Caenorhabditis elegans: one gene and its partner. The protein of the gene in region 1 binds, or shares a complex with, the protein of each later gene. Each region holds a gene or a part of one and is shown on either strand. Other genes may lie near its edges. The genes, in order: sdc-2 and sdc-1.

Region 1 (5,183 bases):
GGTAGTCAATGAAAACTGAATCAGATGACGTTGATCGCATTAACTTTGACGGCTTCTGGAATACGTTTTCACTGTCACTTAAATATCCTTCAAATTCGGAGTCGACGCTGAAAAAATTTCATAAGGCAATTTTTGAGCAATGGATAAACATACTCGGAAGGTACACCCTCAATTTCGAAATTGTTTTGTTGCATTGCTGCATCATATCTTGTCTTCGATTTTCTTCCAGGCTTTTTCTTTGCAGGCTCGTTGACAATTTGTTTTTTCGCACGTGGAACAACGTAACTTGGATCGTACAGTTTAATGCGGTAATTAAGTAAATCTTTCCGTGTAAAGAACTTCATTCCGTCATTTTGGTTTGTTTTTACCAGGGGCCTTGCAATAATTTTTTCTGGTTTTTTTGAATCACCAATTATTCTGGTTATTCTAGAAGAACATTCTGATAGCTCATGCCTGACATCTTCTTGTTCCATTTCAGCCACTCCATCAGCATTGCAACCAATGGAAATTTGATAGTTGTTTGGTATTTTGTCAAATTCAAATGTGTACACATCTCCCGATGACGTCAGAACTCCCGATTCCATGTAATCCGAATTGAAAACTCTTAGACGCTCAGAATCGATTTCTTCTGTGACGACTTTTGCTCCACCGGTAATAATTAGAAAAGCTGATAGATAGTCTTTATTACTGGTTGCTCGACCGTGCTGAAAGAAAATAATAAGGTACAGTTTGACGTTTGTGGCTTACATCGTAAAAGGTCCGTAATCCAAACTTTACAGCAAAAGATTTTGCATCCATGTTTGACTGCTCGATCTGAAATGGAACACACTTTTTATAATAAAAATTGCAATTTGTAACTTTTAAAACTTACAAGATAAACAATTTCTTTTAGAGTGATTGGTTGGAGCATTGATTTGTTCTTTGAAAGAAAATCGAAAACCGGGCGATTGCATCGAAGTATCTCAGAAAGATGTAGATTATAAACAATGGTCTTGTCAAATGCGACTCTTAGTCTACTTTCCCACCTGCAAAATTTCAAATTTAAACGTACAAAACTTTGATTCAAAAAACTTACTGTTCGTATTCCGTGTAAAGTGGGAAACATATTAAATTAAACATATCGACCAAATAACGTTTTCTCGGACAGCATATTCCACTTTCATCATATTCAGGAAACTTATTCTCCCAGACTACAAAGAATCCATGAATATGACGGCCAATACGATGAAATTTGTGAAGCTCTTTAGCCGATATTGTTCCAACTTGAAATTCAACGGGAGGGGCGATGCTGCGGCTGAAAATAAATTTTATAAATATATTTCTGATGATATTTCTGATTGTTTTTAGATGAAAACAATATTTATAAAACTTTGAGCAAGCGATAGCGCTTTAGAGTTTTTAAAACTTGTCGCAAACTCAGTTTTCATCACTTTCCGACTCGAAATAAATAAATTTCCAAAATTTTTTAGAAGGTTTTATGATATTTGGATTTTTAACTACCATAGAAAAGGTGTTCATAATTTCTCAACTGAGCGTACTTCATCTTTAAACGGTTTCAGAATAGAAACAAAATTAAAGAGAAAGAAGCCACGCGTTGCCATAGAAAATGTAAAAAAAATTGCAGCTTAAAGCTACATTTGTGTGTGTTTCAGTTATTTATCAGTCTCAATTCAAATGTTCGAATAATTTTGTTCTCGTCTTGTTCAAATAAAAACTATATTTTTAGAAGCTCAACTTACTAGGTTATATTATGATATTCGTCTTGAGCTTCTTCAAAACGCATCATCAAGTAGTGCTCTTGCTGTTGAACTGTAACGGCATCTTGTGGAAAATATCCACATTCCAAAGTTGGAGGGACGAAGAGTTCAGGAAGATCCGATGAACGGTTCATACGAAGCGAAATTGAATGCTTCTGCATGAGGAACTCTCTGACAAAATAAGATGAGTCGGGGATAACATCATTGTTTTGCCGTTTCTGTAATAAGAATTGAGATGTTCAGATAAATAATTGACTACTTACCGAGTTTAAACGAATACGCAGTTGAACATTAATTTTTTCAAGTTCTGAAGATTGGTTCTTGGGAAATAGTGAATGGTGTTTGTAGAGAACTGGATCATCAGAAATTGATAATACTGGGGTTTTTGGCATTGCAACATAACCGTTCACTGCTCTCTCGTAATGACTCTTAGAAGCTTTCCACCACCCGGTTTGATATTTTAGGCGTTTTTGCTTGCCGGAATGTTTCTTCAATGCATTTTCAAACTGCAACATTTTCACAGATCCATCGTATTCAACCGCAGTTGCTACAATTTGTTCACGAAACTGGTCGCACTTTGGGGAAACAAGTTTGCCAGCTTGGAGATACTGTTCGATCGTTTTTGATAAAGTAGATTCTTTCACTCTTCCAAACTCAGTTTCTTCACCTTCCAAATGATACTGCGGAATTGTGTGTGACATAATGTTACGTGTCACTCGAGTCCGTTTCTGTTCAACTACTTTACCATCATCAGTTACAGCTGGCTTCATGCGATAATTGACAGGTCTTGGGTGATCGTGAACAACTTCTGCTACCAGTTTTGATGTTTTTGCGGTGGATCCACTCTCTATACTCAGATGTTTTGGCAGTTTTCTTCGAGGTTTCTTTACAGCTGGCTTTACAGGTAGAGGAGGAAGTTCAATTATATCGTCTTCTTCTTCAAAACACTCTTCTTCTTCATGACGGTATGCGTTGCGCAAGTGTTCTTCTAATTCCTGTTCGTTTCCATTTTCTTCTATTGTTATATTCAAAAATTCCTGTTCATCCATCTCGAAATCTCCGAGTTCACTAGTACCTCTACTTGATCCAATGAAATGAGTATCTGAAGTAATTCTGATTGCTCCGTCTGGTATCTCATCCTCGTCAATAATGACATCAGAGTCGTTTGATGAAATGTTGCGTTTAACTCTTCCAGGTAAGAAAAACGTGTTTTGCTCGGGAAGTTTCCCAATTTCTGATTGACTATAGTCGCCTGTAGTACTTGCACGTAGATGAACTATGTCATGGATGATAACAACGTCTGGATCAGCTTCATCTGGAGAATCGGACTCGTTGAATGACTCCATTTCACTTTGATTTCCTAGTTCTGATTCATCACTCATAAGTACCGGAAGAGAAAATCACGATTCTGAAAAATAATATATTAGTGAAAATAACGAAAGGTTCTTGAAAAAATTTTTAGACAACGGGCTGTCGCAGAAAAATAAAATTAAAATTAAATGTGTTATGGTAAGCTTTTTGAATTTTTTCAACAAAAAAAAAGTTTTGAAAGAATTAATTTTGAAAATAGTGAAGAGATTGAAAAAAAATTTTTTTGAAAATAATGAAGAGATTGAAGCCTAAAATAACAGAATCTAGAAAAGTAGTCAAAAACAAAAATTGATACTTATTGGTAATTTAGAATTCAAATGCCTTAACCTTTGTGAACTATTCCCTACTTTGTCTTGGTTTCACCAGTCCTGTTTTCTCTAAGTCTCCATTTTCTGTTTAATATGTTGCGAACTGGATGGAGAGAGCCATGGTGGAGAGCGCAAAGAAACGATAGATAGGAATGAGTGGGAAAAAAGGAGAAGACCCAAGAGACATCGACTGAACCTGTGTGGAAAACGAGAGAGTAGAGAGAACAAGGATACACAACTGTGACAGGGGCATGGAGACTCAATAAGAAAGCGGAGGCTGCGTTTAAAGTTATATGGATAAAATAAATTTAAAATATGTTTAGGATAAATAATTTAACTAAAGTTTTTCTAGCTTTGTATAAACGTCAATGTCACGCGCAATTCTGATAAGAAACTCTGCGTAAAGTTTAACCTTGTACAAATGTCGTATACTTTCGATTCGAAAGTAAAAGTGTGAAGCTAGAGGAAAAAAGGAAAATATCACACATATGTTGAAAGAAGTTTCATACAAACATTCAGCAAAAACTCCTACGCAAAATAACATCAATATTAATAAAAATGAAACTAAAGTAAGGTACAGAATAAACAAGTGATTTAGGTATAATTATCGAAAGGGCTCAGGCATCTAATCCGATAAGAGGAAAAGTCAAATTAATAAGTATATGTACAATAACTGCAGATTGTCTTCATCTTCGAATGTGCCAAATTCTATAATGCCGTGAACAGCGCGTCGTTACCGCAGCTCTGACCTCTGCCGTTTTGCGTTGCGCTATGCAGTGATGACCAACGGTCATCTAAACAGCCGGCTGGACAATCGATGATTTTTACGTCATACAAAACGGGGTTGAGTCGCGTAGAAACTGTGCATGAGTCGATATTTAGAAAAATTTATGAACAATTATGTTGACGGGAGAAATGGAAGATGCATACTATCAATGGGAATACATAATGGGTATGTGTAACAAATAATTTTGAACAATTTTAACTGATCCATCGAATATATGTTATATTTTTTAATAATAGGTTGTTCAAAGACCATGTTCCAACAGCAGGAATTTTTTAAAATCAAACTATAAGTAAAACAGTTTAAGTAGTGCATTTTAATAATAATATAACTTTCATGCAATACTATTTTTATGGGTCGTTTTGAGTGCAGGGCTATCAGTGATACAAAACTAATAGATCTTACAAGTAGAGATGCGCCAGAGACATTATGTGAACAACACATTATTATAACCGAAATGCCTTAAATTTTTGAAAATTGTGAAAGCTGCCTTCTAAACCATTTCAAAAGAAAAACATCCATATTGAAAATGCTTCAATTTGTAATAGTTTTTTTTGCCTTTCGAGGTTTCCGTTAAAAATTGCCAATAATGTGTAAATGCTACACTAGGAGCACTAGGAGCTCCATTTTTTCGAAAGTTATAAAATTTTTGTGCCATGCTAAAAAAAATTACAAAATCGTGAAAACTTTTTTCCAATATCCAAATTAGTAACAATTTCAGCTTGTTCTACTTTTTTTGTGATATTCAAATATTTCAGAACTATCAGGAAATGATTTAAACCCTTTTCCTACGGTTGGCGTTTTACTTACAAATACCAAATACACATTGCCATTTCCAGACACTTTTTTGATAAAGACGACCATCTTAAGAGTTGAAAGACCTGTTTTTGGTTTCATAGATGATTTTAATTAATTATTTAAAAACACTTTTGGCTTAAAACATTATTTTTTCAAGAGAGACGG
Region 2 (7,771 bases), 4.8 Mb from region 1:
TGTCTTCGCAGTGATAAATTCGGTACCGGTGTGCCTGAAAAAAAATTGTGTGAAAAATCTAAATGTTCACAAAATTCAGAACTACATAGTTAGGCACGAGGTGTCAGAGCGTCTCACTTCGGATTGATCTACGCAGATCTACAAAAAATGCGGGAGTAGAGAAGCACAGTTGGGCTCAACTGATCTCGCATGGTTCAGAACGTGCTGACGTCACATTTTTTGGGCAAAACGTTCCCGCATTTTTTGTAGGTCAAACCGCAACGGAGCAGTCTGACACCACGTGGTTAGGAGGGACTGTCTTATATCGAGGCTCAATATTCCGCTTTTCTTCACTTCTCTATTATACTTCTCTGCCTGTCCCTCGTGACAGTCAAATTTTGTCTCAAAAAACCGGGGAACAAAATCAACATTACTTAAACTTTTCAAACTCACATAGCCATTACGAAGAACATAAACAGTCTGCATGTTATCCTGGCACGTCGGTTTCCGATCGAACACAAATCCTCCCACAAAAACAGTTCCGGCCGGGTTCATTATCACGTCGGGACGACCTCCGTGTCGCGCCATCAACGTATCGTAGTCTAGCGCAACACCTTTCTGAGCCTCAGTCATTTTTCGAATCGGAATTCCATTTCTCTTCTTTTTATCGTCCGCCAAATACTTTTCGCGGAAACCAATTGCACTTATGCGAAAGTCGCTGAGCGAATTTTCATATTTTGGTGAGAACGCGATGATGTTATTCTCCGGCTCATCTGGGCACACATCATCATCCGGGCCGCTCTCGTGTACCACACGAGTCAGATATTTCCGCTCCTTCATTTTTGCCGGATTAATGGGCACTTGCCTCGCCTTGAACTTTTCATAGTCATACTCGCCATGCTCACACCTCGTTTTGCACATCTCTCGGTGACGATTCCGTTCGACGAGTCTTCGAGCGTTGAGCTCCTTCGGAGTCAGTTCATAATCTTCCGCCTCTTCGTCAACCTCGACGAGTCTCCCATTTTCGCGGGCGGCCGCCTCGAGTGCCAGATCTTTACCCATATACTGTTGAATAAATTCTCGTTCCCTTCGATTCCTATGATCCACACTTTCTTGACCAGCAGACTCCTGGGATGCTTTTGCTTTCGCAAGCTCATCTGGAGGAGCAACAAAATCCGAAATCGAATTGACCATAATACCCTTCGATCGCAAAACAGCACGGTAGTCACCAAACAGAATCGCGTCTTGCTCGTCTTGAACTTCCTTGAATTTTCCCGTTAGTTCCTCTTTGGTGATTGGGTCTCGCTGCACGACATCATTCAAGTTTATCTGAAATGTGTATATGTATATATTTTTTTGGTTTCATTTTACTCAGATAGGCACCAAATAGGTAAATTTCATAGTGTGCCTTCTTAAAAAGTTTCTTAGGAAATTTAAAAAAAAAGGTTTAATTCCGCTATAATCTCAGAATTTACCAATTGTTACTAGAAAAATATTTAAAATCGTATCGTCTATCTAAAAAAAACTATTTTAAAAAATGATCAAAAAATTCTATACCTCTGTCATTCGCAACAGCATATTATCTGTAATAATACGAGCAGACGGAAAGTAAACATTTTTGATTATATCAGGTTCTGGAGCCATCACTGAGTCCTCGCCCTTTTGCACAATTTCAGCAACTGAAAGTTTTTCGGACAAATCAACGTCTCGAATTGTTGAGCAATCGTTCCAATTGTTGATTGAGTCCTGAACCTTGTAGCGTGTGTCGTTGCAAAAGTAGGTGTGGTAGTCGAGTATCTGGAAATGATCATTGAAAAATATGAACCTCAGAATTTTTTGCTATTTTTTTTATTTTCTGTTCATTATACTGATAAATTATTCCCCAAAAACTGTACCTTTGAGTATTGCTCCTCAGATATGAACGGCACTTCAATTTGCATTGCTTCAGCTACACTTTTCTGAAAAAATATATATTTAAGTTTGTTAACCAAAAAAAGAGCTAAGCTTTTGAATCAGGGGTGTGCGGCAAACAATTTTTTCCGGCAAATCGGCACGCCGGAAAATTGCCGGAATTGAAACTTCCGGCACGTCGGCAAATCGGCAAATTGCCGATTTGTCGAATTTGCGAAAAAATTTTGGCAAACTGTGGTTTCGCACTTATTCTTTCGGAAATTTCAGAATTTCAATTTCAAATGGCAAAATTAAACGCATCCTATGATCTTCTTACATTTATTTTGAAAAGTAAGCAAATTCTATGAAAATGTATAGAAAAAACGGAAAAATTTTCGAAAAGACAGTTTTAAGTGTTTCCGTCTTATGAAAAATCCCTCTAAACATTTCCGGCAAATCTGATATCCGGCAAACGGCAAACCGGCAATTTGGCAAAAATAAGAATTTCCTGCAAATCGGCAAACTGGAAAATCGCCGGAATTAAAAATTTCCGGCAAATCGGAAAACCGGTAATTTGCCGATTTGCAGAATTTGTCGGCAAATCAATTTGCAGAACGGCAATTGCCGCCCACCCCTGTTTTGAATATTAACCGCCTTCAAACATATGCACATAATTGAAAAATTAAAAGCTGTGGCAAAACCAAAAAAATGCATACACCTTTCTCCCACCACTTTAAAAAATTGTTTTCAATCATTTTCATTAAATTCATTAAAATTAATAATATCTAGAACACAAATAATCTCCCTTACCATAACTCGCCACGTATTTCGACAGCCGTTCTTCTTCCATTTATGAAATTCTTCATTGACTAATCGTTTGTTACGCGGCCAATAGTGGCAATAATCAAGGTGGTCGTGAAGTAGCGTATAATGACAGCGGGTGCCTGAAAAAGGTGTTTTGAGGAGAAACTAAAAAAGAGAGAGAGGAAGAGAATTAAACTTTCAGATTTTCACAAAAAAGATCGAATAACTTTTTTTTGTATTTTTCTTCATTCCTATTACGGTGAGCCACTTACCACAATGAAAGCATACAACGACCGGCGTCGAAAGTGGCGGCAAAAAGTTTTCCTCGCTGTACTTATACGCCTCATGTCTAGCCTGAGCATTTTTATAATGCTCCTCGAGCCCGGCCATCAGCGTCTTCAGAGCAGTGGTACCAACTTGGAATTTTATAGCAAAATCTTCTCCGATACGATCAGGCGTCTGCTTCGTCTCCACCCAGTCCTCGTTCGCTCGTTCCTTCCATCGAATCAATGTTCGTATTCTGAGCTTTTTTATGATGCTCGCACATTTTGCAGCAAATTCTGCGTCGAAGCACTCTCGGTCCTTTTGATCTCTATACAATTTCTGGAGCGGAATACAATCATTGATCCAGTGCTCCTCATGACTACGATTGTATACTCTGAAATTAACTTTCATTTATGCAAACGTTTACCGTCTGTTGGAATTACTTAGCCAATTCGGAAGTGGTCAAAAAATAAAGAAAAATTGTGAAGATTTTTAAAATCCAATTCTCACTCTCAAACTAATCAACATTGTTTTATTCAATACAAACTCACATAATCTTGCAAATCGCACAATGATAACCGTCTTTTCGTGACTCCGAATGTCGAAGCAGATGATACTTCAACCGTACTTCCGTCGAGAACGTGATTGTCAACTTTTTACTATCACACTTGTGACACACGATCGCCTCGTTCGATTCCACATTGAAATCGGCCAGCGGATGGCTAAAAACACCTTCTGGCGTTTCCGAGTCCACGCGGAGTTTGGGGAATGAGCGAGCCGTGAAATCGTACTGGAAGAAAAAAAAAGTGAATTTGGATTATCATAAAGCTTTCCAATAAATTTCTCATTATTCAAAATTTTGAATTAAAAGTTTGATCATTGCTAAGTTTCTTAAAACTGGCTAATACCCAAACGTCTAGCTAAAAGTGCTGAAAAATCTGAAAAAAATTTTTCGAAAAAAAGCACAAATCAAATTACCGATTGAATAACGGATCCCTCTGTCGTATATCTCAATATGACGCGATACACCTTTTTCGTGTCTGATTCCGATTTTTTCGTACTGCAAATCATGTTGAACGTCTTTCCTGTTGCGTAAAAGCCCGGACACGCCGTAGCGAGCAAGTTCATTATGTGCACTGGGCGTTTGGGATCTTTTATCTTCTGAAAAAAAAGATTGAATTTCAGTGAAAAAAAATATAAAAATTTTGGTAGGCAGAAAGGAAAGTAGGCAAGTAGGTATGTACAACGTAGCTCAGAATCTGCTATTTTCGGTAGGCCCTGAAAACGTGCCTACCTGCCTCCAAAATAGGTTCTAAAACGACCCGCCAATAATGTTTTGCTAGAAAATAATACAAATCTCAAAGTAAAATGGAAAAAAAGTGCTCACAAATGAATTTTCTCCTGAAATCGGAATCGCATCATTAACCAAATCCAAATTGACAAACGTTTTGAGGGGCCAAATCTCCTGTGGAAAGTGATAATACTTGTGCATACTATTGGCGATTCCGTGTCTCTCCGCGTGCTCTTTTGCCAATTTTTCAGTGATCAGCGACGAGCTGACCCTCAAGCATTCAATATCGGCTTGTGAGATTGTCGTTTGAAGGACGAGCCAAGCGAGTGTGGCGAGCTCCGTATTTGATAGATATTGGTCGACTGGTGTGTAGGCAATAACCTCTTCACAATGCAAACGCCAATGCTTGAATAGATTATCTTGTTCTCTGAAATTTCAGTGTTCTTTCAATTTTTTGAAAAAAAATGTCGAAAAACCTACATGAAAACTGTTCCACAAATATGACAAAAGTAGTCGCCGTAGATACGTCCATCGATTCGAAATCGCCCCCGATGCACATTTCCGTGAGCTTCGAGAAATTTATTTGGTACAGGCAGGTGACATAAATGACACGACGACATATGATCCTTTTCCATAACAATTTCCTTATTTGTGATGCACCAATCCGACGGCAGAAATACATAACCACCAGTGCAGTAGTATTGCGACGCTCGGTTCAGTGAGCCCAAAACATTGAGCACATTGCGATGAAGGTACGGCGTTTCTGCTTTCTGGAGCTTGGGGATTCATTAGTTTCAAAATACCAACTTGTGCTTACTTGTATCTCGATATCCGTGGCAGTTGTCGATGTCTGGCTACACGATGTCCGCCAATGCATAAACAGATTATAGGTGTGTCCAAACAGTGTGAGGCACACTTGACACATGTAGACTCCCACATTCTTGTGAACACCTCGGTGACGGACAAGCTTCATCACATTGTCGAACGACCAGTCGCAATGGGCGCACGTCAGCTTATGCTTCGGAAACGGTGCTGGTCCCGTCTGATCTCGTTCTGAAAATTATATAGTAAAGTAAGGCCCAATAATGGATTTTATGTATACACGTAGTGTCAAGCTGCCCCATCACGGTTTGATCTAAAAAAAATACGGGAATTTTTTGTCCAAAAAGTGTGACGTCAACACGTTCTTAACTATGCAAAATTGGTTGAGAACTCTGCGTTTCAACTCCCGCATTGTGTGTAGATTTAAGTAGATCACACTGAAATGAGACACCCTAACTCCAAATAGCTTTAAAAAAAATTATTTTAAATCGTAGGTTTTGTGAAAAAAAAATCGTAGGTAAATTTTTCAATTCTCAACATCTGGAAACTTTGTAAAAATATTTTTCAAAAATGTTTCAACCCGGTTAAATTAATTTTTGGTTTTGGCAAAAATCTACTACTGTCCCGCAACCAACAATACGAATTAATTCTAGTTACCATGCAGTTAAACTTACGTGAAACTAATTTGATTGATGAATGGATTCCATCGCATACTTTCTTGTCAAAATTGATAAAGTCCAGTACATCATTGACTTTATCCACTGGTTTCACAGCTGTTAGTTTGGGCAGTTGTAGTTGGAATGTTCCGTCGCCTGCTTCGTAGAAATTGACGACTACCTCCAAATCATCGGCTTCTGGATCCAAATTTCGTTCTTTACCAGCAATTTGTTGCGCTTTCAGACTGTTTCTAAACAAGAATTTGTTGGATTAATTAGGGCTTGGAAAGCTTTGGAAATGTGAAAATTTTTAAACAGTTTTATAATGATACATGTCCTTTTTTCCTACTGGACATTGGGACAAGCCACCAAGGAAATAAAAAAAAAAAAAAAAAAAACAACAACAACTTACCCTCTGGCATCTGTGATTGAAATTCCGTCCTCTTCGATTTCAAAGCTTTCATCTATATCTTCTTCATCCGACATACTGCTGAAAATGTTCCAAAGTTATAATTGTCATTTAAGGGAAATAGAATCGAAAAGTAAAAGAGATCAAAATTTAGAAGTCAGTTCAAACAATAACAGCAAATCAAAAAAAAAATAAAAGCACCGCGGAAAAATCTCCGTGAAAAATCCAATCGAACAAATTTATAAAATTGTTTTGATCGAATTAAAAAGGTTTTTACCTGTGCAGCACGGCCTCCTCCAGAAAAATTTTCCCGCGTTTTTGCGCGAGTGTTTACGGACAACCGTCTCACACCCCTCCCACCCTCTCACCTCCACACACTCTTTTTTCTGTCGTCCTTTTCACGACAACACTGCACGGCAGAGAAGACATCTCTTGCTGCGTCTCTCACTTCCAAAGTGTGGCGAGAGAGAAAAAGTGCGTTGCGTGCGTTCAATCAGGTCAACTCTGGAATAAATGAAACAATGACTAACGGGAAATCTCGGGGTATTCTGAACGTATAAAATCAATACTTGTTGAAAGGAACAAATTTGGTAATGAAATTTTTATTAATGATTTTACAAAACTATTTATGGCGGTCATATAGCGGTAATTATATATTGATTTTTATTTCAAAAAACAGAAGAAAACAAATTCACATCTATTTCGGAGAATGTAAGCAAAATTAACATTTACAGCATACTGTGTACCTCAAAATGGGTTCTTGTTCAAAAATAGGAACTCTAAAACAGAAAGTTTTTCGAAGACCCATATATCATATGTGGCTCCAAAATTATGTTCGTTTTCATTTTTCGGTGACTTTAAAAATTGAACTTTTCCCAAAAACATATTGATTTTAATGAGAAACATGATAAATAATTTTAAAATAGAGATATGTCCTTAAAGGAGGACTAACGGTTCGGATGATTTTGAACGTATGGACCCAAAATAAGCTCAAATGAACGAGTTTTGTAATGAAACTGCTCAAAAAATTTTCAAAACTTTTTTATGGCGGTTCAAAATTTTGGAATTTTTTTTGAGAAGCTTCATTACGAAATTCGTTTATTTGAGCTCATTTTGAGTCTATACGTTCAAAATTGTCCGAACCGTTAGTCCTCCTTCAACTGATTTAGAAAATTGTTCTCTTTTGAATTTCGAAAAACTCACATTAAAATTTTACAAATCCTAAAGAGACACTTTCAGTTAATCGGAAGTTATTTTTGGCCCTCGATTAGCCATACAAAATTTGTTGCGGGGAATCGAACCCCGGCCTTATGGGTGAGAGCCATAAATCCTAACCACTAGACAACAACGGAGGTGATAAGCACTCATTATATATTGATCTTTATTTCGAAGAACAGAAGCAAACAAATTCACATTTATTTCGGAGAATGTGAGCAAATTTATTAATAACAACATACTGTGTTCCTCAATAGAGAAAAGACACTTTCAGTGAGTTTGAAATTATTTTTGGCCCATCTCTTGATGAGCCATCCAAAATTTAGTAGTGGGGAGCAGTGCATAATTATGTACAAAAGGAAATCTCCATTCACTACGTAAGAGCATATTAGTACCCTTATTACTTAAAAAATAAGATGTGAGAGTGCGGATATATGCGAA

Evidence for each region.
Region 2: sdc-2 (region 1) and sdc-1 share a complex: the UniProt entries of both Caenorhabditis elegans proteins name them as parts of the SDC complex.

Annotation. Positions count from the first base shown.
Region 1 is NC_003284.9:11,520,695-11,525,877, reverse strand, and holds the start of sdc-2 (Sex determination and dosage compensation protein sdc-2), read right to left. Parts: upstream 3,172-5,183; 5' UTR 3,140-3,171; coding exon 2,021-3,139; intron 1,976-2,020; coding exon 1,740-1,975; intron 1,295-1,739; coding exon 1,076-1,294; intron 1,026-1,075; coding exon 872-1,025; exon of another isoform or gene 814-871; coding exon 748-813; exon of another isoform or gene 705-747; coding exon 154-704; exon of another isoform or gene 108-153; coding exon 1-107. UniProt on the Caenorhabditis elegans protein: Component of the SDC complex that functions in sex determination and in X chromosome dosage compensation specifically in hermaphrodite (XX) animals.
Region 2 is NC_003284.9:16,274,194-16,281,964, reverse strand, and holds the start of sdc-1 (C2H2-type domain-containing protein), read right to left. Parts: upstream 6,203-7,771; 5' UTR 6,193-6,202; coding exon 6,119-6,192; intron 5,958-6,118; coding exon 5,725-5,957; intron 5,282-5,724; coding exon 5,046-5,281; intron 5,005-5,045; coding exon 4,709-5,004; intron 4,656-4,708; coding exon 4,325-4,655; intron 4,099-4,324; coding exon 3,916-4,098; intron 3,728-3,915; coding exon 3,489-3,727; intron 3,332-3,488; coding exon 2,946-3,331; intron 2,814-2,945; coding exon 2,680-2,813; intron 1,938-2,679; coding exon 1,875-1,937; intron 1,777-1,874; coding exon 1,537-1,776; intron 1,309-1,536; coding exon 433-1,308; intron 35-432; coding exon 1-34. UniProt on the Caenorhabditis elegans protein: Embryonic transcription factor regulating downstream genes involved specifically in the sex determination and dosage compensation pathways, or regulating other genes involved in the coordinate control of both processes.